Ovis aries: one gene and its partners. The main gene of each other region encodes a partner of the protein of the gene in region 7 in a complex. Links are inferred from orthologs where the notes say so. Each region holds a gene or a part of one and is shown on either strand. Other genes may lie near its edges. The genes, in order: NUMA1, MTNR1B, HRH4, PTGDR2, EDNRB, GRM2 and GNAI1.

The links.
Region 1: GNAI1 (region 7) and NUMA1 share a complex: the UniProt entries of both Homo sapiens proteins name them as parts of the spindle orientation complex. The link is inferred for Ovis aries from reciprocal best matches to the Homo sapiens genes GNAI1 and NUMA1.
Region 2: the proteins of GNAI1 (region 7) and MTNR1B are in contact, whole or in part, in a cryo-EM structure (PDB 7VH0), measured with the Homo sapiens proteins. The link is inferred for Ovis aries from reciprocal best matches to the Homo sapiens genes GNAI1 and MTNR1B. Residues at the interface, in NP_002060.4 of Homo sapiens: Arg24, Arg32, Glu318, Ile319, Tyr320, Phe334, Asp337, Ala338, Asp341, Ile344, Lys345, Asn347, Leu348, Lys349, Asp350, Cys351, Gly352, Leu353, Phe354; in NP_005950.1 of Homo sapiens: Arg138, Tyr141, Ile142, His149, Arg150, Arg154, Ile223, Val227, Ala230, Arg231, Lys233, Ala234, Lys235, Thr252, Met253, Asn312, Asn314.
Region 3: the proteins of GNAI1 (region 7) and HRH4 are in contact, whole or in part, in a cryo-EM structure (PDB 9LRE), measured with the Homo sapiens proteins. The link is inferred for Ovis aries from reciprocal best matches to the Homo sapiens genes GNAI1 and HRH4. Residues at the interface, in NP_002060.4 of Homo sapiens: Ala31, Arg32, Glu33, Lys192, Asp193, Leu194, Thr219, Glu308, Asn311, Lys314, Asp315, Lys317, Glu318, Ile319, Phe336, Thr340, Asp341, Ile343, Ile344, Lys345, Asn347, Leu348, Lys349, Asp350, Cys351, Gly352, Leu353, Phe354; in NP_067637.2 of Homo sapiens: Arg112, Ser115, Val116, Ala119, Val120, Arg123, Thr124, Gln125, His126, Ile197, Ser200, Leu201, Arg204, Asp205, Arg290, Val293, Glu294, Arg297, Arg300, Leu301, Ser304, Leu305, Leu308, Cys361, His362, Lys363, Arg364.
Region 4: the proteins of GNAI1 (region 7) and PTGDR2 are in contact, whole or in part, in a cryo-EM structure (PDB 8XXV), measured with the Homo sapiens proteins. The link is inferred for Ovis aries from reciprocal best matches to the Homo sapiens genes GNAI1 and PTGDR2. Residues at the interface, in NP_002060.4 of Homo sapiens: Glu28, Ala31, Arg32, Glu33, Val34, Lys192, Asp193, Leu194, Glu318, Tyr320, Phe336, Asp337, Thr340, Asp341, Ile343, Ile344, Lys345, Asn347, Leu348, Lys349, Asp350, Cys351, Gly352, Leu353, Phe354; in NP_004769.2 of Homo sapiens: Arg129, Gln132, Val133, Pro136, Val137, Gln140, Asn141, His142, Arg143, Thr144, Val145, Leu233, Arg236, Arg238, Arg239, Pro241, Arg243, Phe244, Leu247, Thr307, Cys308, Pro309, Asp310.
Region 5: the proteins of GNAI1 (region 7) and EDNRB are in contact, whole or in part, in a cryo-EM structure (PDB 8XWP), measured with the Homo sapiens proteins. The link is inferred for Ovis aries from reciprocal best matches to the Homo sapiens genes GNAI1 and EDNRB. Residues at the interface, in NP_002060.4 of Homo sapiens: Ala31, Arg32, Glu33, Lys192, Asp193, Leu194, Glu318, Tyr320, Phe336, Thr340, Asp341, Ile343, Ile344, Lys345, Asn346, Asn347, Leu348, Asp350, Cys351, Gly352, Leu353, Phe354; in NP_000106.1 of Homo sapiens: Asn134, Pro136, Ile140, Asp198, Arg199, Ala202, Val203, Trp206, Ser207, Arg208, Ile209, Lys210, Ile212, Met296, Met300, His314, Gln317, Arg318, Val321, Thr324, Val325, Leu386, Val389, Ser390, Lys391, Phe393.
Region 6: the proteins of GNAI1 (region 7) and GRM2 are in contact, whole or in part, in a cryo-EM structure (PDB 8JD5), measured with the Homo sapiens proteins. The link is inferred for Ovis aries from reciprocal best matches to the Homo sapiens genes GNAI1 and GRM2. Residues at the interface, in NP_002060.4 of Homo sapiens: Glu28, Ala31, Arg32, Glu33, Val34, Asp193, Leu194, Thr219, Asp337, Asp341, Ile343, Ile344, Lys345, Asn346, Asn347, Leu348, Asp350, Cys351, Gly352, Leu353, Phe354; in NP_000830.2 of Homo sapiens: Lys599, Ala600, Ser601, Gly602, Arg603, Arg656, Ile657, Ile660, Phe661, Ala664, Arg665, Glu666, Gly667, Ala668, Gln669, Arg670, Pro671, Ile674, Pro676, Phe756, Val826, His828, Arg829, Ala830, Pro831, Thr832.

Annotation. Positions count from the first base shown.
Region 1 is NC_056068.1:50,438,040-50,442,321, forward strand, and holds the start of NUMA1 (nuclear mitotic apparatus protein 1), read right to left. Parts: upstream 2,801-4,282; 5' UTR 2,605-2,800; exon of another isoform or gene 1-2,604. UniProt on the Homo sapiens protein: Microtubule (MT)-binding protein that plays a role in the formation and maintenance of the spindle poles and the alignement and the segregation of chromosomes during mitotic cell division.
Region 2 is NC_056074.1:1,500,641-1,504,647, forward strand, and holds the start of MTNR1B (melatonin receptor type 1B), read right to left. Parts: upstream 2,801-4,007; 5' UTR 2,287-2,800; coding exon 2,064-2,286; intron 1-2,063.
Region 3 is NC_056076.1:32,579,282-32,581,645, forward strand, and holds the end of HRH4 (histamine H4 receptor), read right to left. Parts: intron 1,454-2,364; coding exon 653-1,453; 3' UTR 501-652; downstream 1-500. UniProt on the Homo sapiens protein: The H4 subclass of histamine receptors could mediate the histamine signals in peripheral tissues. Displays a significant level of constitutive activity (spontaneous activity in the absence of agonist).
Region 4 is NC_056074.1:34,560,082-34,564,041, forward strand, and holds the start of PTGDR2 (prostaglandin D2 receptor 2), read right to left. Parts: upstream 2,801-3,960; 5' UTR 2,725-2,800; coding exon 2,718-2,724; intron 1,653-2,717; exon of another isoform or gene 1,450-1,652; intron 1,061-1,449; exon of another isoform or gene 985-1,060; intron 389-984; exon of another isoform or gene 367-388; coding exon 1-366.
Region 5 is NC_056063.1:53,649,446-53,653,404, forward strand, and holds the start of EDNRB (endothelin receptor type B), read right to left. Parts: upstream 2,801-3,959; 5' UTR 2,738-2,800; intron 1,916-2,737; exon of another isoform or gene 1,909-1,915; 5' UTR 1,857-1,908; coding exon 1,377-1,856; intron 1-1,376. UniProt on the Homo sapiens protein: Non-specific receptor for endothelin 1, 2, and 3. Mediates its action by association with G proteins that activate a phosphatidylinositol-calcium second messenger system.
Region 6 is NC_056072.1:49,193,141-49,196,640, forward strand, and holds part of GRM2 (metabotropic glutamate receptor 2), read right to left. Parts: intron 1,757-3,500; coding exon 919-1,756; intron 1-918. UniProt on the Homo sapiens protein: Dimeric G protein-coupled receptor which is activated by the excitatory neurotransmitter L-glutamate. Plays critical roles in modulating synaptic transmission and neuronal excitability.
Region 7 is NC_056057.1:42,546,185-42,550,184, forward strand, and holds the start of GNAI1 (guanine nucleotide-binding protein G(i) subunit alpha-1), read right to left. Parts: upstream 2,801-4,000; 5' UTR 2,496-2,800; coding exon 2,378-2,495; intron 1-2,377. UniProt on the Homo sapiens protein: Guanine nucleotide-binding proteins (G proteins) function as transducers downstream of G protein-coupled receptors (GPCRs) in numerous signaling cascades.

The DNA of each region.
Region 1 (4,282 bases), on a different chromosome or scaffold from region 7:
AGGCATTCTACAAATTTGATGCAATCTCTATCAAAATACCAAGGTAATTTTTCATAGAACTAAGACAAATACTGTAATTCTAAAATTTGTATGGAAACACAAAAGACCTTGAATAGCCAAAACAATCCTGAAGAACAAAACTGTCCTCACGCACTGTTGAGGGGAATGTATATTGGTGCAGCCGCTATGGAAGATAGTATGGAAGTTCTTAAAAAAGTTAAAAATAGAACTATTATATGATCCAGCAATTCCACTCCTGGGTGTATATCCAAAGAAAATGAAAACACTAATTGGAAAAGATATATATGAACATCCCTATGTTCACTGCAGCATTACTGACAACAGCCAAGATATAGAAGCAACCTAAATGCACATGGGTAGATGAATGGATAAAGAAGGTGTGGCATATACTCTAATGGAATATTACTCTGCCACACAACAGAATGAAACTGCCATTTGTGACAACATGGATGGTGAGTACATGTGATAACATGTACTAGGTGAGTGAAATAAGTTAGACATAGAGAGACAAATATTGTACAATTTCACTTACACATGGAATCTAAAAATCAAATAAAAAAACCTAACAAAACAGGAAGACTCACAGATACAGAGAAAAAACAGGTGGCTGCTGAGGGAGCAGGATGAGGGGATTAAAAAAATAGGTGAGGAAGACTGAGAGGTGCAAACTGCCAGTAACAAAATAAGTGAGTCACAGGTTATGAACCGTACACTGTGGGGAAAAGAGTCTCTAATGTAGCATCTTTGTATGGTGACAGATGGAACAACATTTTTTTTAAATAAAGAGATAATGACTGGGAATCTTTAGAAAACTGAAAGGTATGAAACCCCAGATTGAGGCATCACTCTAAGCCCAAGTAGAACAAAATTAAATCCACACATGTAATGAAAGTGCAAAACACAAATGACAAAAAAAGAGGATCTTAAAAACAACCAGAGAAAAAGGCAGGTTACATACAACGAAATAATAGTTATATTGTGGACACAGTTCTCAAGAGTTAACAACAAAAAGCCATAATTTCAGTAAAATGATACTTTCAAAGTGCTGGGGGTAAAACAACTGGAAGCCTAGTATACCCAGCTAAACTATCAATCAAGATTGATAAGGAAGTAAAGATATTTTCCAACAGAGTATTTACCATTAACAGACTCTCACTAAGAGAACATCTGAAGGGGGAATTCTGTGGCAGTCCAGAATTAGGGCACCATACTTCCATTGCAGGGAGCATGGGTTTGATCCCTGGTGGGAGAACTAAGATCTGACATGCTGCATAATATGGTCCAAAAAAAAAAAAAAATCAGAAGTATGTATTCCTCTATTTGATGAAAAAGAAGGAATAAAATGCAAGAAAGGATGGAAAAAACAGTAAACATATATGGGTAAAATGAAATAACCACTGAAAGCACAAAACTATGCTACTTATTAGAATTGTTCTAACATTTGGGGATGGTCTCATTCTTGGAAATGCTCATTTTGAGTCTGTTTAATGTACACTGTGCTGAAATAAATGGCCTCCAACATACCTACTGACCGTAGGGTTTTATCAATTAGACAAAGCTGCCAAAACATTTCCTGATCAGCTCTGTTTAGCCATCTGTGGCAGGGCTTTCCCTCATCCTAACAGTTCTAGAACTCGAGTCTCAGTTCAAGGCATTCTTTCCACTTCCATATTCCACAAATTTAAAAAAAAAGAACATTCTAAATAGAAATGTCCCTTATATGAGCTTTTGGTTAAGATCTTCTAGTTTGGGGGAGTATAATTTTTGGCTATGGATTTAGGATTCAGGCTTTATAATTAGTCATCATTTGCTTGAACTTGGGCCAAGAAGAGAGTACTTTGGCAGCTTTCACAAAGAAGTATGCGCTTCTTCCTCTGAAGGAGAAAATACCACACAGGATCAGAAGGGAGAGAACACATTCAACCCTGCAGGCTGAAGGCTGCCTTACCTGATCTGAACATTCCCTCTAGCTTCCCATATATTCACAGCAGTCACATCACTTATACTCAAAAATGTGTACTCGCCAAGATGCTTGCAAGAAACAGCTCACCTGATTTGACCCTCATAACGGCAGGAAAGTAGATAAGGCAGGTAAATTCATTGTTTATATATGAAAAAAGTGAGACTCAAAAGAAACTGACTCGCCGCAGACGACCCGCACGGCCAACACAATCCCTCCCCTTCACTTAGACCCAACCCACAAAAAAACCCAGTATAGCCAACCAAGCACGAGCTATGTAACCGAGGCCAAGCTGAACATAAACCTCAGGCGGCCCATCTGTAATAAACTATAAAAAAGCTGTTAGGAATATTAAAAAGATGATCCATATAAAGGGTGTGGCACGGTGTCTGAAACGTAGCTGGTCCTCAGAAAATGTTTATTATTACTACTACCACTATTGTTAACAATAATAGGCGAAGACTTCTCACTACAGGAACCCTCGGCGACACGCCTTTCAGGAACCTGCGTTACCCACACCCGCCTCGCCCCCCGACACAATTCCACCGACACGCCCCCAAACAGACCCTCCCCCTAAGCACGCCCCGCACCTCCCTCTCGGACAAGGCCCTTTCCTCACAAACCTTACCCTCGAAAGACTCTCCCCAGTCAGCCTCGCCTATGAAGGAGGCCTTCCGCCCGCACCCGCCTCTTCAGCACCTCTTTTAGACTCGGGCATCCCTGCAGGCGCCCCAGCCGCACGCTAGTAGCGGGCCCGCGCCATTACCTGGCCGCGCGCTCCCGCTCCGACTCTCACTTCCCCAGGATCGCCTTCTTCTCGGGCCCGCGCCAGCGCTATGAGCGCACAATTAGTTTAAACTATGGCCCCGCCCCCTCGCGTCGCCCTGCGATTGGCCCCTGTCGGCTGGCGTCGCACGCAGAAGCAGCCTGAAGGACCCGGGGAAAGGAAGTGTGAGGGCCACTGGAAAGGGGAAAAGGGTGCCACAACTTCCGGACCCTGGCCCGGCGGCCTGAGTGCAAAGACAACTACAAGTCCCAGCACCACCCGCGGCTTTGGAGCGCTTCTCTTGAGGAACTAAAGTTCCCAGTAGGCATCGCGGCAGCGCCTACGGCTCTTAGAGGGGACGTGGTGACGTAAATAGTTACCATGGAGTTGCGCTGAGTAACCGTGAGGTAGTGGACTCGGAGGCTGGAGGGGAAGCAACTGCGGGTGAGTTGGGCGGGAAAACAGGAAGCCTGCTCTAGGGTACAAGAACTCTATGAGAGGGGAGGGGCACACTGTTAAGAGCTTTCTTTCTTGGGAACCTGAGATCTCCCCACCCCCTTTGCCGCTAACTCCTTTTCACAGTCAACAAGACACAAACCCTTGTGGGATAGATGGGCGAGGGGAGGGAAGGGAATTCTGAGAAATATACCCAGACAGATATGGGGGCCTTAAGAACCTCCCCCGTCACAAAGATAGGATCCCTCCCCTAGTACTACTGTCTCAAATCCCTGACATATCCTGGGAGATCTGAAACGCCGTCAAACGTGGAGTTGGTTTTCCTCTGGTCGACTAACTCTTCAAAACCTGGGAGTAGGATTAGAGTAAATCACAGTCCCTAATTCTGGAGATGTAGGAAACTTTCTGGGGCTTGAACTGCCCCTTTCCTTCCAAGCAGGAAGACCCCAGGGTAGAGCCTCCTTTTCAGAGAGTCAGCAGGATCTTCCCTCACATATTTATTAGGGGTTCTATCCTTAAATTATATTTTATCCCTACACTACTCTGTGGTCTGCTTCTCCAAGTTCTGCAGTTAAAGCTTCATTCCTTTTAACAGTATTCATGACAGGTTTCTTATATTTAGCGACTTACCTAGTGTTTTCACATCCAAGTCTTTTTTTGAGCTTAGTGAGTCCAAGGATATTTATTCCCATATCACAGATTGGAAAACTGAAACCTATAGAGGAGTAGTGACTTGCCGGAGGCCACACACCAAGTCAGTAACAACTAGGACTAGACCCCAGTTTGCTGTCAGCCAAGCTTGAGCCTACAGCCTCTCTAGCTTAAGGACTTATTCAAAGTAGTTTAACTGCCCTGGGGCAAAAGACCCTTTTATAGCCTACATTGGGATATTGACATTTCACCCTGAATGAGTTTCAAATCTTTCCTTGAAAGTTTAAATGGGGAGAGGGAACTAGAGAGACTGAAGGCAATGGAAATTAAACAGATTTAACTAAACAAGAAGTAAACAATCTAACACGACACCTGTGTCTGGTCCTGCCATGATTAGCTAGCTTCGGGTTGACTCCTAACTGACCCTA
Region 2 (4,007 bases), on a different chromosome or scaffold from region 7:
CACGCACAGATATGGTATTAAATTCTTTTTTCTGGTGCTGGGCTGTAGCAGATTCGCCAAGACACAGGGAGGATGAACGCAGGGAGTGCTAGTGTTTTTAACACGCTCATTACCTACCCCAGCCATACTCTCAAAGCAATAAGGTCTCTGTGAACTTCACTAGGAGAGAAGAAGAGGCCAGCTTGCCTGCGGATGGAGGAGGGGAGAAGAAGCTTGCCTCCTTCAGGCAAAGGAAACAGCACCCGGCCCCAGCCACCTCGCCCAACGGAGGAAGCCCACAAAGGCTCCTCTAAACACCTGGTTAATCTGGGAGAGAAGCCCTGCTTCCCTGGGCAGGAAATGAATCCTTGTGGCTGCTACAAAAGACAATATGATCAAAATGATTTTAACCGGCTCTTTCCTAGAAGATAAGCCTCTATTCCAAGGACACAACAATATCTTGAAAAAGTTATTGCAGATAATAAAAGTCACCACCACTGAAATGACTGAGTTAGAAAGTTTAACTTTTCCTTTCCTTCCAGTTTAACTGACATGTAATTGAGACCCAGCACGGTATATTTAAGGAGCAAAGCAAGATGATTTGATTTACATACACCATGAAAAGATTACCACAATAAGTTTAGTGAACATCCATCATCTCAAACAGATGCAAAAAGAAACAGAAAAAAAATGTCCTTGTGATGAGAACTCTTAGGATTTACTCTCAACAACTGTCATGTGACATACAGCAGAGTTATATTTACCATGCGCATCCCAACTACTTATTTATCTTAGAAGTGGTCGTCTGTGCCTTTAGATTGCCTTAATCCAGTTTCCTCTGCCCTCAACTCTTGCCTCTGGCTCTACAAATCTGACCTCTTTTTCTGAGTTTGTTTTTGAAGTATAACTAACCTATAACAATATGTTAGTTCCTAGGGCACAACACAGGGATTCAATACTTCTATACATTTCAAAATGATCCCTATAAATAGTTACCATCTGTCACCATACAATTACTTCAAATGTGGTTTCCAATATTACAGATAGAAGCCCACATTTTTGTTTGTTCTTTTAGATAAAAAAGCTTGGGAGTCACTGGGTCACATAAAGTGTTTATAACAATGTACTAGAAATAGCCTTTCTGAATGGTCTGCCTCCTTAGAAAAGCATGAATAAGTTATCTGATTGGTTTTCTGCTATCTTTTCATTTTAATTCACTCTAACATTTGAGTTGCCCCTAAGGCCCAAACAGGGAAACGACAAATGGACAAACGGGTCACTGAGCTTCTCCAAAAGCTAGATGGTCAGCATGCTCCGATGACCCTCGGGGTCAGAGTTCAGAGACTCCCTCCCTCTGGTTTTGTTCCCTGGCACACCTACACATGAGAAAGTTGAAACGAGTGTATCGAAAGGGAGAAATAGGATTGCAACACTATTTTGCCAAATTATTATTTTAATCTTCGTTTAGTCCTACGAATTCCCTGTCTTCATTAAACACGGGGTTATTTGAAAACAATGCAATTCCCACCAAGTAGAGGCTGCCGACGGCTGCCTTTGCAATCTTGTTTGGAACCAAGATGAGGAGCTAAGTATCGGACCAAATCTCTCTAGAGCGTTTCCACTAATTTACTCATTGTCTCAGTAAATATTTTCCAAGCACGTGCTGCGTGAACCACTGTGCTTGGCAGGGGAGGGAGGTGTTGAAGACGAGATTCCTGTGGCCACGGAGGGGCACCATCCAAATCTGCAAAAATTGGAGCGCCTTGGACAGCTTTGACTTTCAGACGCTCCTATTTTCACAGCTCCCTGCTCTGCCAAGAAGCGCGCGAAAAAAACTTTATCCGATTTACGCCCGCACTGATGCGCCAAGTGCTTCCCGGAGCGTTTCCAAGAGCCACACGTTGGGGAAAGGCAGCAAACTCAACCTAAGTTTGGGTTCAAGACCAAACCTGGGGGACTTGTTGAGAGAAGGGAAGGCGGCGCGGGGAGCGGAGGACAGACCGGGCGGCCGACTGCGCGGTGAGTGTTAGACCAGAGACGCGGCCCCCGGGAGCGGCCGACGCGGCGGCGGGCGCAGCGCTCACCTGCGTTCCGGAGCTTGCGGTTGCCCAGCACCGAGAGGATGACCAGGAGGTTGCCCACGATGTCCACGGCGGTGGTGACGACGAGCACCGCGGACAGCGCGGGAGCCACCCAGGGAGGCCGGGGCGCCGCGGAGGGCCGCGCGCCGCCCGCGCCAGTCCAGCGGGGGCTCTCGGCCCGGCCGCCCGCCTCGCAGCAGTTGGCGAAGGAGCCGTTCTCAGGCATCCCGGACGCTCCGGCGCCGCGCCAGCCAGGGCGCACCCAGTCTCTCCGCAGGCGGGGCGCCCCTTTCCCCGCCCAGCCCCGCGCACCAGCGAGGAGGCCAGTGCCGAGGCACCTGGACGAGATGATTAATTAAGCGTGGGCAGGGGGCGGAGAAAAACGGAGAGGAGCATTTGGGGTGCAGGCGCTGCTGAAAGAAGCGCGTCTCCGCTTGGCTCGCCCAGGAGCAGGTGCGACGGCGCGCCGCCCGGAGCCCAGCACGTGCCTGGCCCGGTTCCGGCCTCAGCGCCTGAGCGCGCCGCACAAGAAGCTGGGTGTCCAGGGACACCCAGATTCTCGGACTGGAAAAGGTGCTGCTCGTCAGGACCTGCTGATTGGCTGTCAGAAGGGCACTGCCCCTCTAAAGCGAATACATACCTCCAGGCATCGCGGAGAGATCAGGCAGGCAGCAGCAGGAGAAGGAAGACCCTGCGCTGTTTATTTGCTGTTTACCTGAGAAGTCTTGGCGATGCCTCAGCCCTGTCCTCTTTATAAAACCGCGACAATACTTACGAACATCTTTTTAAACATAATAGTACTTAAAAAGATGCATGGTCAATAGTGGGGGTTATTATAAGGTGTTTTTTGAAGGGATTAGACCACAAAGAGGAGTGCAGTATGGTTATAGGAAAGAAGAAACGCAGATGCCCTTTATTTAAAGTGTGTGAGCACTTAATCTTATAATAACAATTGCTCGTCCCTCTCCAGGGTAATTTTATGCCAAGTACTGTCTTACCCACTTTTTGCATCACTAGAATCAAAATGGCTGATAATCTATTTGGCAAAGAAGTAAAGGACCTGCTTTGATGAGAATGAAAAATGGTACAGTCACTGCTATTTGGTAGTTTCTTATACAATTAAACATATTCCACTTTTTGACCTGCAGTGAAATGAAGATGAAACATATGTGCACAAAAAAATTTGTGCAAGAATTGTCCAGAGCAGGGTTAGTTATAGTAGCCTAGACAGCCCAAAGGTCCCTCAAGAGAGGAATGGATAAAACAATTGTTAATTGTCAATATGACTCATCAGTAAAAGTTACAGATACACAACAACATGGGTTAATCTAAACAGTATTATGTCGAGCAAAAGAAGCAAGATATAAAAGCCTACATTCTTCATTATTCCGATTGTATGATGTCCAAAAACAGGGAAATTCATCTATGGTGATAGTTATCAGAACAGTGGTTGCCCAATGCGAGGTGAAGATTGACTGGAACAGATCATGGAATAAATTTCTGGGATGTTATTGGTATGTGTTATTAATGTACATTTTACTCTCCCACTCTGCACACACACAAAAAAAAACAGAAACAAAAGAACCGAGAGAGGAACTCTAACGGTGTGATGTTGCAGGAGAAGATTATAGTTAAAGCAATAAATGCCTTGAGAGGTGAGCGCATCTGAGCCCAAGGAAGGCAGATCATTGTTAGGAGAGAGAGGCTTTCCCCCCTACAGGGGAAATGAAGCATAAGCCAGTGCAAATTTGGATGTGTTTCTAAATCGGCAGGAGATGGGGGAGTTCCTCTCTGGCTACCATCTTCTCAGGGAGCTCCGGGCTACCTCATTAGCTGGGATTCAGGGGGAAAGAGTGTGGGAGACGAAGACAGGAGGCCTGAAATGTCATTGCAGAAAACAGGAACTTTAAGAAAACGCAGCAGGTGTATCAGGAGACGGAAACGACC
Region 3 (2,364 bases), on a different chromosome or scaffold from region 7:
TTCATTGAGAACCTTCAAGAGCTGCAGTGACCTCCTCTTTCCCCCATCATCCCACACTTTCTTCTTTTCTCGGATCAGGAATGCAGAGTCTGGAAGTATACATGCCCTCTGCTCTTTCATCTGAGCATCCTCACCTCCTCACCCTCACTCAAACCCTAATTCTCCTGCCCAGTGACCATAACAGCGTTACCCACCCCCAGGAAAAAGGGCTAAAGAGCTCGTTTTCCTTTTGTATGCTTTAGAGAATGATCTTAAAACGTGATGAGTTTTCATCACTGTAAAATGAAAATGGAAATTCACTTAAGACTGTGGCAACACTGAACATCTAGAAAGAAAACCAAAATTTTTGAATTTCACAATCAAAGTTATCTTAAGATCTAAAAGACAAAGAAGAGGTGATGACTAAGAAAAATATAGTGCTTTTGTGGCTCTGAGTTTACAGAAATATTCTTGTCAGTTTCTAATAATGTTGTTATTCACCAGAATAATTTTCCACTGACTTATAGGTTCCAGGGGTTTTTTATTTGTTTGTTCAGTGTTTCAAGTGTTACATTTTTATGGACTTTTTCAGTAGAGTGGAAAGGGCACAATGAAAGCCAGACTCATTTAAGTGAGAGCAAGACTGAAATTTACATAAGCAAAACGATTATCTTCAAGAAGATGTTGACCGATTATGTGATAGTATGGACTGCTTTTTCACCCGAAATAATTTCAAGAAGGCCTTCTGAAAACTCTTGTGACACAAGGGATACAAAAAAGGATTGACAAAGGAATTGAACCACTGAAGCCAAAATGTGAACTCGTACACAGCGTTTGAGAGATCTGAGTGTGTGCCATGACATGAACGAATAATTGTGAACAGAGAGTAGGGAGCCCAGCAAACAGCAAAAACACCCAAGAGAATGGCCAGTGACTTGGCTAGTTTCTTGCCTCTGCGCAGCTCAAGATGTTCCCTTTGGTGAAGAGCTAGGGAATCTGAATGGGAGAGAGAGCTCGTTTTGGAAGCGGTTAAACTATTCATCTGGGGTCTTAAGGAAGACAAGAGGCTGCTCTTTCTTCCTGACTTCTCAGAACGAAGGGATGCTGCTGATTCCTCCAGGTTGGAAAGAGATGGCCTCGAAAACAGTCCATTCCTGAATGAGCGTCCACTGCTACTGGAAGGGGCAGAAATGAATCCAGAAAGCCCCCTACTGAGATGACTGCGCTTCCATAGGCTCCAGTAAATATACATGTTGAAATAAGCCACTAGCAAGACTGGGATCACGAATTCGAAGAGTAACGTGAGGGCAAGGATATGCCATTTTTCAAGGAATTCAGGTTTGCAATCCGCCCCCAATTCCTTCCTAGTCTCTGAAACTAGTATTGGCCCATGCACTAAGAAGGCCGCCACCCAGACGGCCACCATCAGAGTCACAGTCTTCAAGGTCCCAGTATGTTGAGCTCTGTAAGACACCTAAAAGAAACCAAATAAATTATTTTTAATACAATGAGCACATGTTGATTGCACAAAGCATACCGTCAGCCCTCTGGAGTTTCCGTGATGTGCACAGTGGAGCTGGTCACTGAATCTGGGTAATGTGATTGGGCCGGGGCAGAGGGTTTGGTTTTGGTGAACCCTGGGCCTAGATGTAGGCTTTCTTACAGTTTAAGGTTAAACATCTGACACTACGGAAAATGTCAAGGTTAATATCTAAAAGAAGAACACAATTTTTCCTAGTCCACAGACACTAATCTGAACTGTTAACTGAAACTTGAGTGAACACGTTCACAGTGCTTTTAACCTGCCAGCTGGGTCGTGAGCAGCATTTTTAACAAATTGGGATAATCAATGTCAGAATGCCTCACACATCATAAGGCTATGTATTGTTTGATGAAACTCTTGCTTTGGGAAAACATTAATAGATATACATAAGAGAGAGAGAAATGTGCATACCAAATCACAGTGTAAAATGCATTTATCACTGAAATCACAGTAAAAAAAGTTTGAAAGACAGAACCTATCCTGCAGTTTATGCTGAGCCTTCCAGGTGGGGTCAAAAAGGACAGAACTCTTACATTCCTCCCACAAGATGATGCACAAAAAGAAAGAGAGTTAAATCAGCTGTAGGAAGAGACTACAGTGTTACGAGCAAAACCTAGCATTTATTTCTACAAACGTATCCACCCAGCAAAAATGGTACTGAAGCAATGGTGGCCAGCCACTTGGGGAGATGTGGCTGTGGTGAGTGCCACGGTCTTTTTTAGGAGTGAAGAATACTCTAAGCCCACTTGAGCACAGGGACAGGCTTCTATCAGGAAAGATGAGATTCTGTGGGGGAGGATTGCTCTCAGATCCCAGGACCTTTGATAGATTCTAAAATCTTA
Region 4 (3,960 bases), on a different chromosome or scaffold from region 7:
AGCCGCTGGCAAACATGTTGAGGAAGAAGATGGAGGAGTGTAGCTTGCAGAAGGTGGTGCCCAGCTTCCAGGAGTGGCCCACGGCCAGGAAGTAGGTGAAGAAGGGCAGGGAGGCGGTAGCCAGCAGGTCGGACAGGGCCAGGTGCAGCACCCAGGTGGTGACCACGGTCTGTCGCATGCGGCGCCCTACCACGAAGAGAATGAGTCCGTTCTCCACCAGGCCCAGCAGCGAGGCCAGCCCGTGCAGCAGCACCGAAGCATGGTCCATGTAGCGGATGCTGGAATTGCTGTGGCTTTGGAGGCGGCTCATCTGCTCCAGGAGGGGACAGAGTGGCTTCGTCGTGACATTGGCCAACATGATGGGCTCTGCGGCAGAGAGGAAGAGGCGCTGTGGGGGGGAGGGGGGCAGTTCTGGGCAACAGGAGACCCTGGCCAGAATAGGGGACTGTGTCTAGGTTATAGGGTTGTTGGGAGAATTAAATGAATTAATAAATATACAAACATTTCAGGGGCTGCACTGGTGGCTCAGTGGTAAAGAACCCACCTACCATTGGGAGACATGGTTTCAGTCCCTGGGGTGGGAAGATTCCCTGGAGAAGGAAATGGCAACCCACTTCAGTATTCTTGCCTGGGAAATCCCATGCACAGAGGAGCCTGGTTCCTCCATGGGGTTGCAAAAGAGTTGGACACGACTTAGCGACTAAACTACAGCAACAACCATTATAGGCATTTCAAACAAGAGTAAGCACAAAGTAAGCACTATATCAATGGCATGATTAAGTAGATAGCCTAAGATCAATTGGAGAAATAGGTACCAAGGTCAGGCCAGGCGGGACTCCCTTTTCCCAATCCCTAGAGCACTGGGGCGTGAGTTAGGCTCCCCTAAAGGGCAGGAGGATTCAACTGGGCTGGGGGACGGGAAGGGAAGGAGTCTGTGCCTTTAAGGGGTGCCTTCCCTCCACCCACCCCCAGCACCCCCCAGACCTTGCCTCCCTGCCGATCTTCCTGCAGCCCTTCACTGCTACAGTGGTGGCTGGTTGGGTGTGTGGCTGCAAACAGTGGAAGCACCCCCCCCCCGCCCCCCGCCTTGATAGTTGAAGAGGAAATAAGATAAGAGCAGGGAGAGAGCTGGGCAGGAGGAACTACCAGATTTGGGCTCTGGAGGCCCAGTAGGGCCAAAAGACCTCTCCCCTGCCCAGGGGTGGCTACAGGCACTCTGCCAGTTCCAGGAAACCCAGCCTGATTCATTCATTTATTCACTCACTCACACACTCATTCAACAGCTCTTTATTGATCAACTACTTAGGTAAGTGCTGGAGAAGCCAGGCTCTGGCCAGATGTGCAGACATCCCCGAAGTGCAGACCCACAGCCTCATCAAGAATCCAGGACCACCCAAAGTGGAGCCAGTGGAGATCAGTGAGGGCAGAGAGGTTGGGGTGGGAGGCTACCTGCAGGAAGTCAGCAGGGTAGCAGGGGGCGGGAACTTGGATCGACCTGGGCCCCCACAACATGCTAGGAGCCATGGTAGGTCCTTTATGTAGGTGTTCTCCTGCTCACGGCTCTAGAAGAAAGGGGCTGGTACTTCTCTCCACCCCATTTTGCAGATGAGGAAACTGAGACTCAAGTGTTTCCATCACTTTCCCAAAATTTCCTGAATAACACAAGCAGGTGGAGAAACAAGAGTTTAGCACTCAATCTGTTCCCTTTCCTCTGCCTCTGAGCTCTAAGCATGAGGTGATGGAGGGAAAGAAGGAAAAGCAAGGCAGGGTCAGGGGGAGTGATCTTCACTATCCATCTTTCCACAGGAGACACTTTTGGCCAGGATGAGAAAATCTACACCCTTCTTTGGGGACCACGGTCCTTCATAGGATGAGGGCCCAGGATATCAAACTAGAATTTCCTTGACAGGTGAGGCACTTGGAGCTCGGGACCTGCAGGTATGGAGGAGGGAAGCTGTTGTCCCCGTGTGCTCCCTAGAACGCTAGAATTTCCCAAGTTCTAGAGTCTGCAGAGCAATTACACTCACAATGACCCTGTGCGACCCCATTTTTCAGAAGAGGAAACAGAGGTTCAGAGGAGCACAAGATCTTACCCAGTGTCCCTCAGCTGCTGGGGAAGGGGGGCTGCAGGAACTCCACTCTCAGCAAACACACACATGCCAGCCCCTCCCTGTGCTGAAACGTTCCCTTTAGCCCCATCTAAGTCCCCCGAGGATGCTGCGAAAGCATGTCCTGCTGTGCCCTGGGGTCTGAGCCAGAATGGACCTTCTGGCTGACAAGAGTCTGGCCCCCAGCCTCCCAGGATTCTCAGGAAGCCCAGCAGCAAGGGTCCTGTTTTGACAGAGGGCTGGGGGCAGAGAACACTAGGTTTTTGGTGTCAGAGACCTGGCTTTAAATCCCAGCTCCTTGACTTCCTGGCTGGGTGAATTTGGGGTCCATTACCATAGGACCCACTCTTGGAACCCTTCTACCCAGATGACTCCTGAGTCTTGAAAAAGAGCTTTAATGGTCTATCACTGTGACTGCTGTCTAGTAATTACCTAAGGAACTGTGGTCCTTCCCTCCTCAGAGCAGTAAGTCCCCTCCAGTCTTCGGTAAACCCTACTCTCTGCCATCCTAGCTAGTAACAGTCCTCTCCCCTGATAAAACTATGCCCTCTCTCCTAGGTCCAGAGAAGGCACTGAAGCTGCCCAGCCCCAGGGCCACCGTCTCCTTACCTGGCATAGAGAGCACACAGGATTCCAGCCCCAGTGGCAGTCAGCTCCTCGAGGCAGACAGGAGGCAGCGGGCAGGCAGAGAGAGGGGAGGGAGGCTGAGGGAGGAAATAGCTGTTAGCCCCAGAGTCAGTGCGTGTATATTTAGGGGAGGGGTGCGGGGGGGGGGGGGGGGGGGGACAGCTAGAGAGTGAGCTATTACACTGGTGTTCAAGTAACATCCATCTCCACTGATGGGGACTGGATGTAACTGCCAGCAGCCCAGCTCATCCTGTCTCTCTTTACAAAGGCGATTTTGCAAAAGCCCAGGGTCAAGTGTAAGTGCACATGGAAAAATAGGTGTAGGGCAGAAAGTGTGAGCCCATGTTCATTTTGAGAGTGGCAGGTGTTTAGGAGAAGTGCTTGAGGAGAAGGGTGTCCTGTCCATCTGTCCTATCCTGGACTGCCCTCCCTGGTGGGGTCCCCTGACCCCATCACCCTCAGGATAGAAACTCATGTGGCTCCTGCCTTGTGCGCAGGCAGCACAGGGGCCAGGGGTAGGGGTGGTCTGTGCAATGGCCCTGAGGGCTCTATGGCCAGGAAGGCAGGGTGGGGCTGTGGTAAGAGCGCGGGTCTGGCTGTCCAGGCTGCCCGCAGTCCTAGCCGGGAGGTAAGCCACTTCCCCTTCCTGCCCCTGCTTGTCCATCTGTGACCAAGAGCGACAGTGTCACCTCCAAGGCTGACCAGGCGCCCTCATTCACAACGGACCCAGCACACAGTAGGTGCTCATAAAAATCAGGTTTCTTCCCTCTGGGAGAAAAATGGGTATAGACTGTTGGGCAAGGGCAATACAGCTTTTATTTCAAATGGACTGGGAATTCCCTACTGGTCCAGTTCTCACTGCCAAGGGCCCAGATTTAATCCCTGGTCAGGAAACTAAAAACCCCACAAGCCATGCGGGGGAGGCCAAAATAATAATAAAAAGGTCTGGGCTCGGACCCCATGGATGAAATGATTGATCTCCTTTTGCTAACCAAGCTTCCTGAGGTCAGGACTCTTCCTCCAACCTCAGCATCTAGCACCCAGGAAATACCCAAAACACATTAAGAACTCGGAAACCCACCCCCCGCTACAGGATTGACTCTAAAACACTTCCATTTTTGGTACAGGCTTAATGTAGGGCCTGGCACTTGATAAATTTGCTGAGAGACTGCAGTTCCTGAGTGAGGAATGTGATGGGGAAGCTTGCTCACTCTCGTCCAAGATG
Region 5 (3,959 bases), on a different chromosome or scaffold from region 7:
GGTGACTTTCTATTGCTGATTACGATGGGGATGCAGAGTTTTACATATTTGCATAGTCCTTTAAAATATTCCATCTCTTTCCCTTAGGCTGTTTTCTCAATGCCACAAAATTCCAGTTGGTGGGTTCCCTGGTGGCTCAGATGGTAAAGTGTCTGTCTGCAATGCAGGAGACTTGGGTTTGATCTCTGGGTTGGGAAGATCCCCTGGAGAAGGAAATGGCAACCCACTCCAGTACTCTTGCCTGGAAAATTCCATGGACAGAGGAGCCTTGTAGGCTACAGTCCATGGGGTCACAAAGAGTGGACACGACTGAGCGACTTCACTCAGCAGCTTACTGTAGAGTTAAGGACACTGAGGTCCAGAGATGTTAGGATATGTTCAGAGTTTCAAAGCAAGCGAGAGTCAAATCATGTGGAGGTTTGTGTCCTGCCCTAGCTCTTCATGCCCATTTCCTCTGATGCCAGTGGTAATCACACAATGATGTTAGCTACTGAAACTGTGACAGACTGCCGTTAGGTGTTCTTGGTCTTGTCCGCAAAGTAATTGATTCGGTGCAGTTTGCACTTTGGAACCTGACAGATTGGGCCTGATTTTCCTCAGCTCCATCACTTACTCCTTGTGAGACCTTGAGCATCCTATCATTCATAAAATGGAGTCATATCTACTCATAGGTTGTTAGAAGGAGGAAGGAAAAGTAACACATTTATCCCGGTGCTTGGCCCATCATAGGCATTCAGTAAAGAAAAACCAGATAGGATACAGTCATTCACAGCAGATGAACTGTGTTTTCCCACTCACCTATCTGGGACTTTTTCCCTTAGGTCATTCGTTTTCTAAAAATCTATTCGTTTCCCAAGGTTAGTATGCATAAGAATCACATAGGTATTGTAAGATGCAGGTTCTGATTTAATAAATCTGGGGTAGACATGGAGCTCTAACAAGCTTTCAGGTGATAACAATCTGCCAGTCCATGGTCCATGAATCTCTGAGCAGAGCGAATATACCTTTGTGAGCTGAATTTAGGGACAAGGTCCTTCAAGACCAGTACCTTTCAAACTTTACCTGGGGGGTTTGTTAAAATACATTTCTAACAAGTTCCCAAGTTATATTTAGGCTGCTGGTCTGGGGACTATGCTTTTTCTAGGCTTAGCAGGGGGCTACTGAAACCAGAAGGGTGTTTGGTTCCAATGATTATTGGAAGTGCGGGGCGGGGGGGGGGGGGGGGCGGGAAGCGGGGGTGTAGGGCCGGAGGGTGGAGTTGGGGGAGCCGGGGAGGGGGGATGGCTCTTCTTGAGGAGCCTCCCTGCAAAGACTTTCCCATCTTCCTGGTCCTGAGGGTGCGCCCTCCCATCGCGATCCTGGCAGGCATCCCTTACCTTGTAGGTATTGATGGGGATATCAATGATAATGTGCAGCAGGTCTCCGAGAGCCAGGCTGGCTATCAAGATATTTGGACCGTTTCGCATGCACTTGTTCTTGTAAATGATTCTCAGCAGCGTGGAGTTTCCGATGATGCCCAGCACGAACACTAGGCAGGACACCACCGTGTTGATGTACTTGAAAGTCTCCTTGATCTCTATGGGTCCATCGCACGGGGGTGGGGTGCGCGGTGGGATTCCCACCATCCTTCCCCCTCTAGGAACTTGCGGTGTTGCGGACGATCGCGGCTCGCTGGCGTTGGACCTCCCGGGCCAGGAGGTCTCAGTCGGGGTCTCCATCATCTCTCTGGTCCCCAGAAGTGGCTGAGTGGCCCCGGCTGGCGGGAATTCCCTCTCTTCTGCTTGGATCCCTGCCACGCCGCAGGCAAGGATCAGCGCCACCAGGGCGCGTCCGCACAAGCTGGGCAGCGGCTGCATGCTGCTGCCTGCTCCAGAGGGAGTCGGGTGGCCGCTCCTCAGCTTTCCGAGTCTAGAGACTAGCAAGGGAAGGAAGACAGGACACCCGGGTCAGCGTCCCCAGCCACGCCCCTGCAAGCAGCTGTCCCGGAGCGCAGCAGCGCCCGCACTCTCAGCGCGCGAAAGTATTAATAAGTCGAGCTGGCGCTGCAGTGGGGAACTCTGGCGCGTGGGACTCGCCTGCGCCCTAAACGGTCCCTCCAGAGCCAGCTTTCGCTGGTTTTTCCTCCCCTGCGTCCCCTGAGGGGTAAATGACTCGCAGTGGGGCGGGGTATCCTGGAAGGGGTGTGACGGGGAGGAAAGGATGGGTGTCCAATGCAAAGCTTTGAGCTCCTGGTGTGCGCAGAGGGAGGAGTATTCGTTCCGGCCAACGGCGCGCGGGTACAGGGGAAATCAAGGCACCTAGCGATCAAGGGCATCGCCAGTCTCTGCATTTGACTCCCCAGCAACCCCGGATGCCGCGTGTCTGGACTCCCAGACCCCTCCCTTCCCGGCTGCCTGTGGTCTGTCTCCTTCGGCACCGCTCCCACCCCCCATACACACCCCAGGACTGCCCCGGCTGATTAAGAAAATCTCCCTGACATCTCCACTTGGTCTGATTGGAAGAGTCTCTATCTGCATTAACTCGGAAGTTTCTATCCCCTCCGAGTGACTTCAAACGCTCAAGCCCTCCTTCACTCCAATCCCATTTTAATCTGTTGCAGCTACAGGTTTTAAACACACACACACACACACACACACACACACACACACACACACACACACTAAGAAGTAATCCAAACTGAAGCCCCAGGATAAGGTTCAATCACAGATTTGATTTAAACACCAAGCAGAACGGTTACCTCTTGGTCCGGACGCGCCAGGCAGGGACCTCCTTTCCCCGGCGCGCGGCTGGGTTCCCGGCTGCCCGGGAGCAGAGCGCGCCTCCCTTCAGCAGCGGGAGGGTCTGGCTCTGACGAAACGCCGAGGGAATGCCTGACCGTGTAGCCTCTGCAGTTTGCTCGGGATCCTTGCTGTCCCAAGACAAGTACTTTTATTCATTCGTCCGTTCCCCATCAATCACCACCAGACTCCTTCCGTCCCTAGCGACCGCGCAGCAACCTTTCCCCTGGGGCGACGCCTGGACAGCATCAGTCGGACCTGGCCGCTGCCATACTGGGCAGTCCTCGGACAGAGATGCGTCCTGAAAGGCTGCGGATGTATCATGGCTCAAAGCGCTTCAGATGACGAGCCTCGGCCAAGGCCAAGTTTTGACACAACTCCTGGCCCTCGAGGCTGGAGACTAGAACCTGGCTCTGAATTAAATGTGTTTAATGCCCGCTTCCTAGGTGGTGCTAGTGGTAAGGAACCCACCTGCCAATGCAGGAGACAAGAGACTAGGGTTGCATCCCTGGGTCGGGAAGATTCCCTGGAGGAGGATGTGGTAACTCACCCCAGTATTCTTGCCTGGAGAAGGCCCATGGACAGAGGAGCCTGTCGGGCTACAGTCCATAGGGTGGCCCAGAGTCTGAAATGACTGAGCATAGGCACACGCAACGTCTGCTAAGACTCCCCTGCCCCAAAAGTTAAACGTCCCACGGTGATACCTAAACTTCGATTAGTTGGGGGTGTCTGGTGCTCTTGGCTTAAACAAAAACTATTTATTTTGTTGTTGTTGTTGTTGTTGTTGTTTTGAGTTTTCTTTTTCTTTCCTTGATTTTTGGAGGCTAATTACTTTACAATATTGTATTGGTTTTGCCATACATCAACATAAATCCGCCGTGGGTGTACACGTGTTCCCCATCCTGAACCCCCCTTCCACCACCCTCCCTGTACCATCCCTCTGGGTCATCCCAGGGCACCAGCCCCAACCATCCTGTATCCTGTATTGAACCTGGACTGGCGATTTGTTTCTTATATGATATTATGCATGTTTCAATGCCATTCTCCCAAATCATCCCACCCTCTCCCTCTCCCAGAGTCCAAAAGACTGTTCTATATATCTGTGTCTCTTTTGTTCTCTCACATCCAGGGTTATCATTACCGTCTTTCTAAATTCCATATATATGTGTTAGTATACTGATT
Region 6 (3,500 bases), on a different chromosome or scaffold from region 7:
GCTGAGAAGGCAGGGACCCCATCATTCCAGGTCCCAGTGACTAATGGCGTTCAAGTTAGCAGATGATATGCTTAAGATCCCATGGTGAATGGTGCAGCCTGGAGTCAAATGCAGGTCCCCCACGGCCTCTACTCTTTCTACCCAGTCCTTGAAGTCCTCAAAATCCAACATGAGCCCTACTATAAATTCCACTTAGCCCAGAGGGCTAAATTTAGCCTTGTTCTAATGTCAACCCAATCAGACCCAAATGCAACACTAACCCCCAGCCTGACTCTCCCATAACTCTGAATGTCAATCTTATAGGAATTGCTACTCTTCTTGATCCTGATCCAGAGCTCCAAGCTTTGTCAGCCCTGGCACCCTCTCTCGCTGTTCCTGCAGTCATTCTTTCTGAAGCACAGTGATGACCCTGTGGCATTTATTTTTCTTGAAGCTGGAACTTTTATTAAGGTAACTTTTGGTTTGAAGAGACCATGGCCACCTCGAGTGGAAAAGCAAGATTAGGAATAGAAATTTTCCTGGAAAATAGAGGGTCATCCTGATGTACCTTTATTCTCACGCTCTCTGATATCCTGCTGCCTGACAATGGGCTTGAGGTCTCCTGATCCTACTCCCTGCATGATAAAGAGGCAGGAGATAGAAGGCAAGGCCCAAGCAGGAAGCAGAGACCCTCACAGTGCAGAGCCAGGCCAGGTGTCTACTCTCTGGAAGAATCTCAGGAAGTGGCACCTCAGGTCTGGATCCTGTTGGAGTCCTCCCTGCCTGGCTGGCCTTGTCCCAACTCTGACACCAGCCCTTTGGGTAAGTCCCTGACTTGCGGTGGGCTGTATTTTCCTAGCCATGTGCTAGAACCTGAGGGCCTGCTCCCTTTCACCCTCCGAGAGCCAGCAGCCTGGTGGACCTGGCCGGCACCATTACCATCAAACTTGACGTTGAGCACGAAGTCTTTGTAGAGGCGGCGCCCGTTGACGGGCCGCATTGCATCACAGAGGCGGGTGGTGTTGGGGCAGAGGGCACGATGCATGTTGTGCAGGGCGTGGGCCATGGCGTACACAGCATTGACCACAAACATGATCTTGGACTCTTGCTCAAAGGGCACGGCCCGCAGGGAGTGAGCCGCACAGTCTTGCTGCCGGAAGCTGCAGTGGAACCTCTGCTCCCAAAATTCACGGAACCAGGGGTTCCGGCTGTTGTTCCATGGGTCCAGGCTCTGGAAGTAGGAGGCAAAGTCACTGATGGGGTAGGAAGCCAGCTCTATGGTGATGGCGCCTTCAGCAGCACCCTCACTGCCTGCCACCACGCTCTCCAGGGCCCCCCAGCCATCGCTGGCAACCCAGGTGAAGCTGGCATTGAGGCGCTGGCTGGCAGCAAGGAGCTCGCGGGCGTCCTCGGAGCGGGTGAACAGGACAGCCACACGGGCACTGGGCTTCTGCAGCAGGGCTCGCACCACGCCCTCGAAGGCCGCGCGGCTCATGGCGCGGCCCACCTTCTCCGAGGTGGCGACGCAGATGTTGCGGGCGCGGGCCTCTAGCTCAAAGGCTTCGATGCCTGTCTCGCCATAGTCACCCTCGGATGCCACGGTGGATACGTAGGTCCAGTTGAAGAAGCGGAGAATCTCAGCCATGGCTTTGGCTTGGAAGAAGTCGGGGGGCACCGTGCGGGCAAAGTAGTCATAGCGGGACTTATCACTCAGCTTGGCACTGGTGGAGGCATAGCTGATCTGAGGGATCTGAAATAGCCGCAGGAGGTTGGCCACCTGCAGTGGGGTGGGCGGGGTGGGGGGAGTGGTTGAGAGGGCAAAGATAGAGACAAAGTCAAATGCTAGAGACGGCTGTGCCCCTCAACCCAGCTATCAGACTTTGGGATCAAGTGCCCATGTGGTCATCTATGTCATGATGTCATGATGTCTCCCTCTCTCCAAAGACCTACATTGTTTTGATGTGTCTTCCCCCTGGGGGCAGCAAGTTTTCTGTCCCTTCCTAAGGGCTCAGAAAGACGTAGGGCCAAGGCACCGTGGTCCTGAGCCACACTTGAACCCCTCCCCTGTCTCCCTTCAGATGCACAGCTGTAGCAAAAGGAGAGAGCTAAGGAAAAACCTAAGTCCTGAGTGGAGATAGGTTATCCGTTGGCTGCACAGGGAGGAGGCACTGGATGGCCTCTGGGATGCTTAGGGGTCTTAAGCTCTCTATCCCAGAGTCAATGCTGATGGGATGATGGAAAGAGAAGGAAAAGGCTCCCCAAAGAAGGAAGACTAAGATTTGAGAGCCCAAGAGTGGGTCTCTATTGGATGCCTGAGCCAGAAATTAACAAGGCTTCCTGCCTACCTGGCAGCCAGTCTCTCACCCCCAGATCCCTGGGATGTGCCCCTAAGAGTGAGGTCCAGCCAAGAACCTGGTGGCATGGTGGGTGAGAGCAGGGCATGGCCCAGGTTCCACAAGAGGGAGTCAGGTCCTGTGTTTGCAGCTGGGACATAGACATTTACTCGGGCAGTGTCAGCGCCTTCCCTCTACTGTCTGACTCTGCGCCCCTGGGCAAGTTAGGAAATTCCCTGAACCTCAGTTTCTCATTCCTGCCTTCCAAGGTTGCTGAGCTGATTAAGAATATTGATGTACATGAAGCCACAGTGCCTGGAAGATGATAGGGATTTCGGCGAGAGAGAAGGGCTAGTAATGTGGACGAACCATTGCAGAGAGGTGCAGCTGCAGGATAAAGGACTGAGCCTTGTTTTGACCCAGACAAGGAAAAAGCAGATGGACGCTGAGCTGTGGGTCCTGCTGCGGGAGTCAGGCAGCTTGGGGTGAGGCAGAGGTAACTGGGCTCCTGGAGGTAAATACAAGGGGCCCTGAAAAGAATTGTGCACAGGGGGTGCTGGGAAAGCACCCCAGAGGCCCCTGAAGACATCAGCAGTGGGAGGCTGCCTCCCCATCCCTGCCCCTAGCTCAGACTACAGATGGAGGTGCTGGTGCAGCCACGCCTGTCCAAGCTACCACTGGCTACATCCAGCAGCAGGCCCAGCAGAACCGGTAATTCATTCCCTGCATTAGGGGTATGAGCAGGCCTCCCTCCCCACCCCAGGCCAGAAGCTGCCTCCCTGGTTCAGACTCCTGCTTCCTCTCTCCTAAATAAGCATTCTGGGTCAGGGGTCCCGGCCTGGCTTCTGATGGCAATGTCCTCTGCTGGCATCCTCGAGGCAGCTGAGGCCCCTAGACGAGGCCCTCCTTGCGACTCCCAACACCAATCTCAGCTCTGGCCTCATCTTCCAGCAGCCTAGGCTGGCACTAGACAGGTAAGGGTCCAGGCAAGAGGTGGAACCCAGTCAAGGACAAGGAGGATCCCCCTGGGCCGCAGCAGCCAGGTGCGCCAAAGGCCATCAGTTGTGCCTTCTGCTGACCCCTTGTGGGAAGAACAGGAGGGAGGGCCTGGGTCCCTCCCCCTCACCTGGTCATCCTGCACTTACTGCAGATCCTGGGGTGCCCTCCTCCTCACTTGCACACACATCC
Region 7 (4,000 bases):
TAATTGAGCTCTTTACACACTAAGAACTAAAAAAAAAAATCCCCCAAAGAACCAAAGGTCAACACTTCACTGCTAAAGTCAAACTAGGAAAAAGAAATATTTTTTCAAACATTCCAAGAATAAGCCAACATTCTGTTTAAAGGAACTAGAATGTTGGAACTCTGGGCAAAAGGGTAGAGGGTAGGATGGGAGTAAGACAGACGAGGAGGTCCTCTGTTTTGTAAGGCCTAATTCACTGGGCCAATAATATGATGCTATGATGGGACTTCTACAGAGAAAAGGTGTGGGAACAGCACAAGACTAAAGCTAAAAAAGAGAGCTGAAAAAAATCAGCTACCTAAAGATTTTAAGTCATTTTGAAAGCCTTCTAATGTACTTGGTATGGAGAAACAAAACTCCTTAATTTCTTCTGAAAATCGTAGCTCTGCTACACCTCCCTCAGAGTTCTCACTACAGTTCATGGTAGAGATCCAAACTCAGGTTCTACCCTACATATTCAGTATATATTTTTCAGTCTAGAAGAGCTAGTCTCAGCTGAGATTAAACTTGCCCCTAGGGCATGTTTGAGACATTAGTTGGAGGCCAAAGATTCTGCTAAGCTTCCTATAAGGCACAACACAGCTTTCACAACAAAGAGATATTCCATCCAAAATGCCAGTAGTGCTAAGTTTGAGAAATACTGATCTCTTCTGAATATAAGCAAACACCAACTCCTTGGACCCTTATCCTTGTCTATTTCTAATAGACATCTATGTAAAGCATATTACCATACCAGAGGACTCATTTTTCAAGGCTTTAAACAAACATGGTGGATAGCTGGCTCAAAATGAGCGTCACACAATACACTGAAATAATACATCAGAGCAGGAGTGCACAAACTGCTGAAGAGAACTTTTCAATCCTTTCTCCATTTTTGTCTGAAGCACATTCCATTTGAAAGAGGAGCACCTATATGTTCCCATACCAAGGTATGTCCCTTCTGTGTTCAAGATACTAAAAATATATTGCCTTCCTCAAAAGACTATTTCTTATTAATGTAAAAACTTAGGTAAACAGTATAAACTGAGAAAGATTTACTTTGGGTAGGGGGAGGTGTGGAAAAACCACCAGGTCTCTAAAATGCAAAGTTATTTCACAGTTTACTTGTAGAATGACTCAGATCATTATTACTTTTAGTCATGCCAAGTTTGCAGCTTCTAAGCCTACTAGTAATGGAGAAAAAAACCCACCATTTTTCCTGCACTCATTAAACCAATGAAACAGAAGCTTACTGAAAATAGGCTTGTGCAATAGTATTTATTTTATTATAACTGTTACAAAAACAAAAGCAGTCGCTGCAGTGCAAACAAAGATTCTGAGAAATCTTTCACCTACTTTGCTACCTATAGGTAGGGTGGTGTGGTGTGTTTGCGGGGGGTGGGGGGGCGGGGCAAACAAAAGAAAATCCTAACTCACACATCAAAAATCTTAAACTGTGAATATTTTCCAAATGTATCCCTCAATCAAAATCCTGGATTACTCTTTTCACGTTCCCTTCCTTCAAACAGCTGGAAAAGACCTCCGCAGAGCGTTTTACCACCAGAACAATACTAAGAACAAATAAAAGCCTTGCGTCGACCTGGCAAATCTCATTCATCAGAAGCCCTGGCAGCAGAGGAGAATCCTGTTGTCCCGTGTGACCCATTCACACCTTTCACATCGGTTTTACTGAAGCCAGTTACCCAACTTTGGTGGTTCTCATATCCCCACAGTTATTTTTAAAAATCCAGCATAGCCTACTTCCCCTACGCAAGGTAAATGTAATCAGTGCTCCTTTAACACTTACTGAGTCGCCATAGGAAGTTCACCAGAAAGACACAATTCAACCCTAGGGAGGCCCCACAAAAGGTGCACTGATTTCACAAAACGTGGCACTCTTGACATCCTCGAGGAAACCACAACCGCGATACGATGCCTTGTACGCAGGGTTTTAGTGCGGGGGGTGCTCTTCTTTCTTTTTCGCCAATGCCCTTTCATTTTGATAAAGCTGAGCTAACTTAAAAGAAGGGGGCTTCCTTGCGAACCGCTCCTGGGCTCCTGGTGAAATTTCACACCAGGCACGCGAGTGAAGTCTTGCCGCGCCACCGGCGAGTTCTCCGCGGCCAAGGGAGCAAAGAGAAGAAGACCGAGGAGAGGGGCCCCCGCCTCAGCTCTGCGCGGCACAAGCTCGCGCTCCGAAACCATCCTCGGACGCTACACGATGCGCCCTCCGCCGCTTTGGCACGTCCCCTCCGGGTTTCCCAACGCCAAAGAGCCCAGCACAGCCGCGCCCGGCTCTGCCGCCCGAACCCCGGGTTCCAGGCCCACCAGGCGCCCAACCCGGCCCGGCCGCCCTTACCGAGCAGCAGCAGCTTGACCTCGCGCGCCGCCTTCTCGCCATCCTCCCGGAGGTTCCGGTCGATCATCTTACTCCGCTCCACCGCTGCCTTGTCCTCGGCGCTCAGCGTACAGCCCATTGTGCCAGGAGCGAAAGCTGGCTGCCGCTCCCTCCAAGTCCGGCGCGCTGCCTCGAAACACAGGTGAATTCTTTCTTTCTGGATGCAGGCGTTCGAATTCCTCCTGACGCCGGCCACGCCACCCCTACCTCCTTCCGAAACTGAGCGAGGGCAGCGCTCTCTGCCGAAGGGCGAGCAGCACCGCGCAGCTCTTTTCTACAGTCAGGCTCTACTCCTCGCCTCCCTAGGCGCCCCCTAAGACCAGGTTCCTAGGCTCTCGGAGCAGCTGCCAGCGGCCTCCTACTGGTGGCCGCGCTGCAGCCTCTAAGAAGCCCAGCTCGCCGAGGCGTCCGCGCGCCGCCGCGTCCCCGCCCCTGCCGCCCCGCCCGCCGCCCCGCGACCACTCCCAGAGCGCGCGCCCGCGCACGAGCCCTCGGACCTCGCCCCCTCGGATGGGCGCGCGCACCCGCGCTGCCGCGGACCCTGGCGCCGCACAGCCCGCGAGGGCCGGCCACCCGCGCGCGCCCGTGGGAAGCGCCCCTGGGAAGCGGCCAAGGAGCCCCAAACCTCTCGGGGAATTCCTCTACCTGGCTTCCTCCTCGAGAGTGTGATAATTTCTTCCCATTTACTCACACCCAGGGATGTGTGCGGACCTGCCCCTTGGGGTGCGGGTGGGAGAGCTGCCAAAGTTGGAAACCGAAAAAAAACCAGTCCTGGGCGTTTGAGCATGCCCAGCTCGGGCGGGCGCGCGAGGGTTTTCAAAATGCAAACCCGTGTTAGCGGGCCTTCATGGCGGTGGGAGATAGAGCGAGCTGGTTTGGGAATGGAGCCATGGAGAAAGCCGAGCAGGTGAAGTGGGGAACAGAAAGTCCCGGGAGGACAAGAGGTCAACTTTCTTCCTTTTTTTTTTTTTCCTTCTCTCCTCCCTCCTACCATCCATTTTCACGTTCCTTTCCACAGGCAGAAAACATTTTGAAGGATTTCCTCAAACCTGAGAAAATATGAGACAAAGAATCAAAGAGTATATTTTTAAAATAAGAGCCAACACACCCACACAAACAAAACCCCTCCTCACCGTAACTGACCTCCTCTGGGGCGACATAGAAGCTTCCAAGCCAAGTTCTGCACCAATATTCATGACCATGTTAGTAAATCAGAAGCCACTGGGCATGTCATTCTTTATTGCAGGCTTTGGCTTCCTGAACCATAAAATGAGATGGAACTGATCCACACTAGCCTCCATCCTTCCAGCTTTACCTGGTCTGGGAGAAATCACTTCTGTGGGCGTTGGAGGCATCTCACCCAGCGTGTCATCAATGAGCATAGGCTTAAGATCTGGTCTCTGTCAGTTGCACTTTTCCTTACAGATATCACAGGAAATGTTGGTTGATTATAAGACTGGGTTGGTAGCAAAGAAAAACGTCTTCTTTGATGTGTTATATTAGGTAATTGCTCTAACAGAAACCAAAGAGCAACCATTTATAAGTCTTATTTTCTAAAAATAAAAATAAAAACTTTGTTTAAAA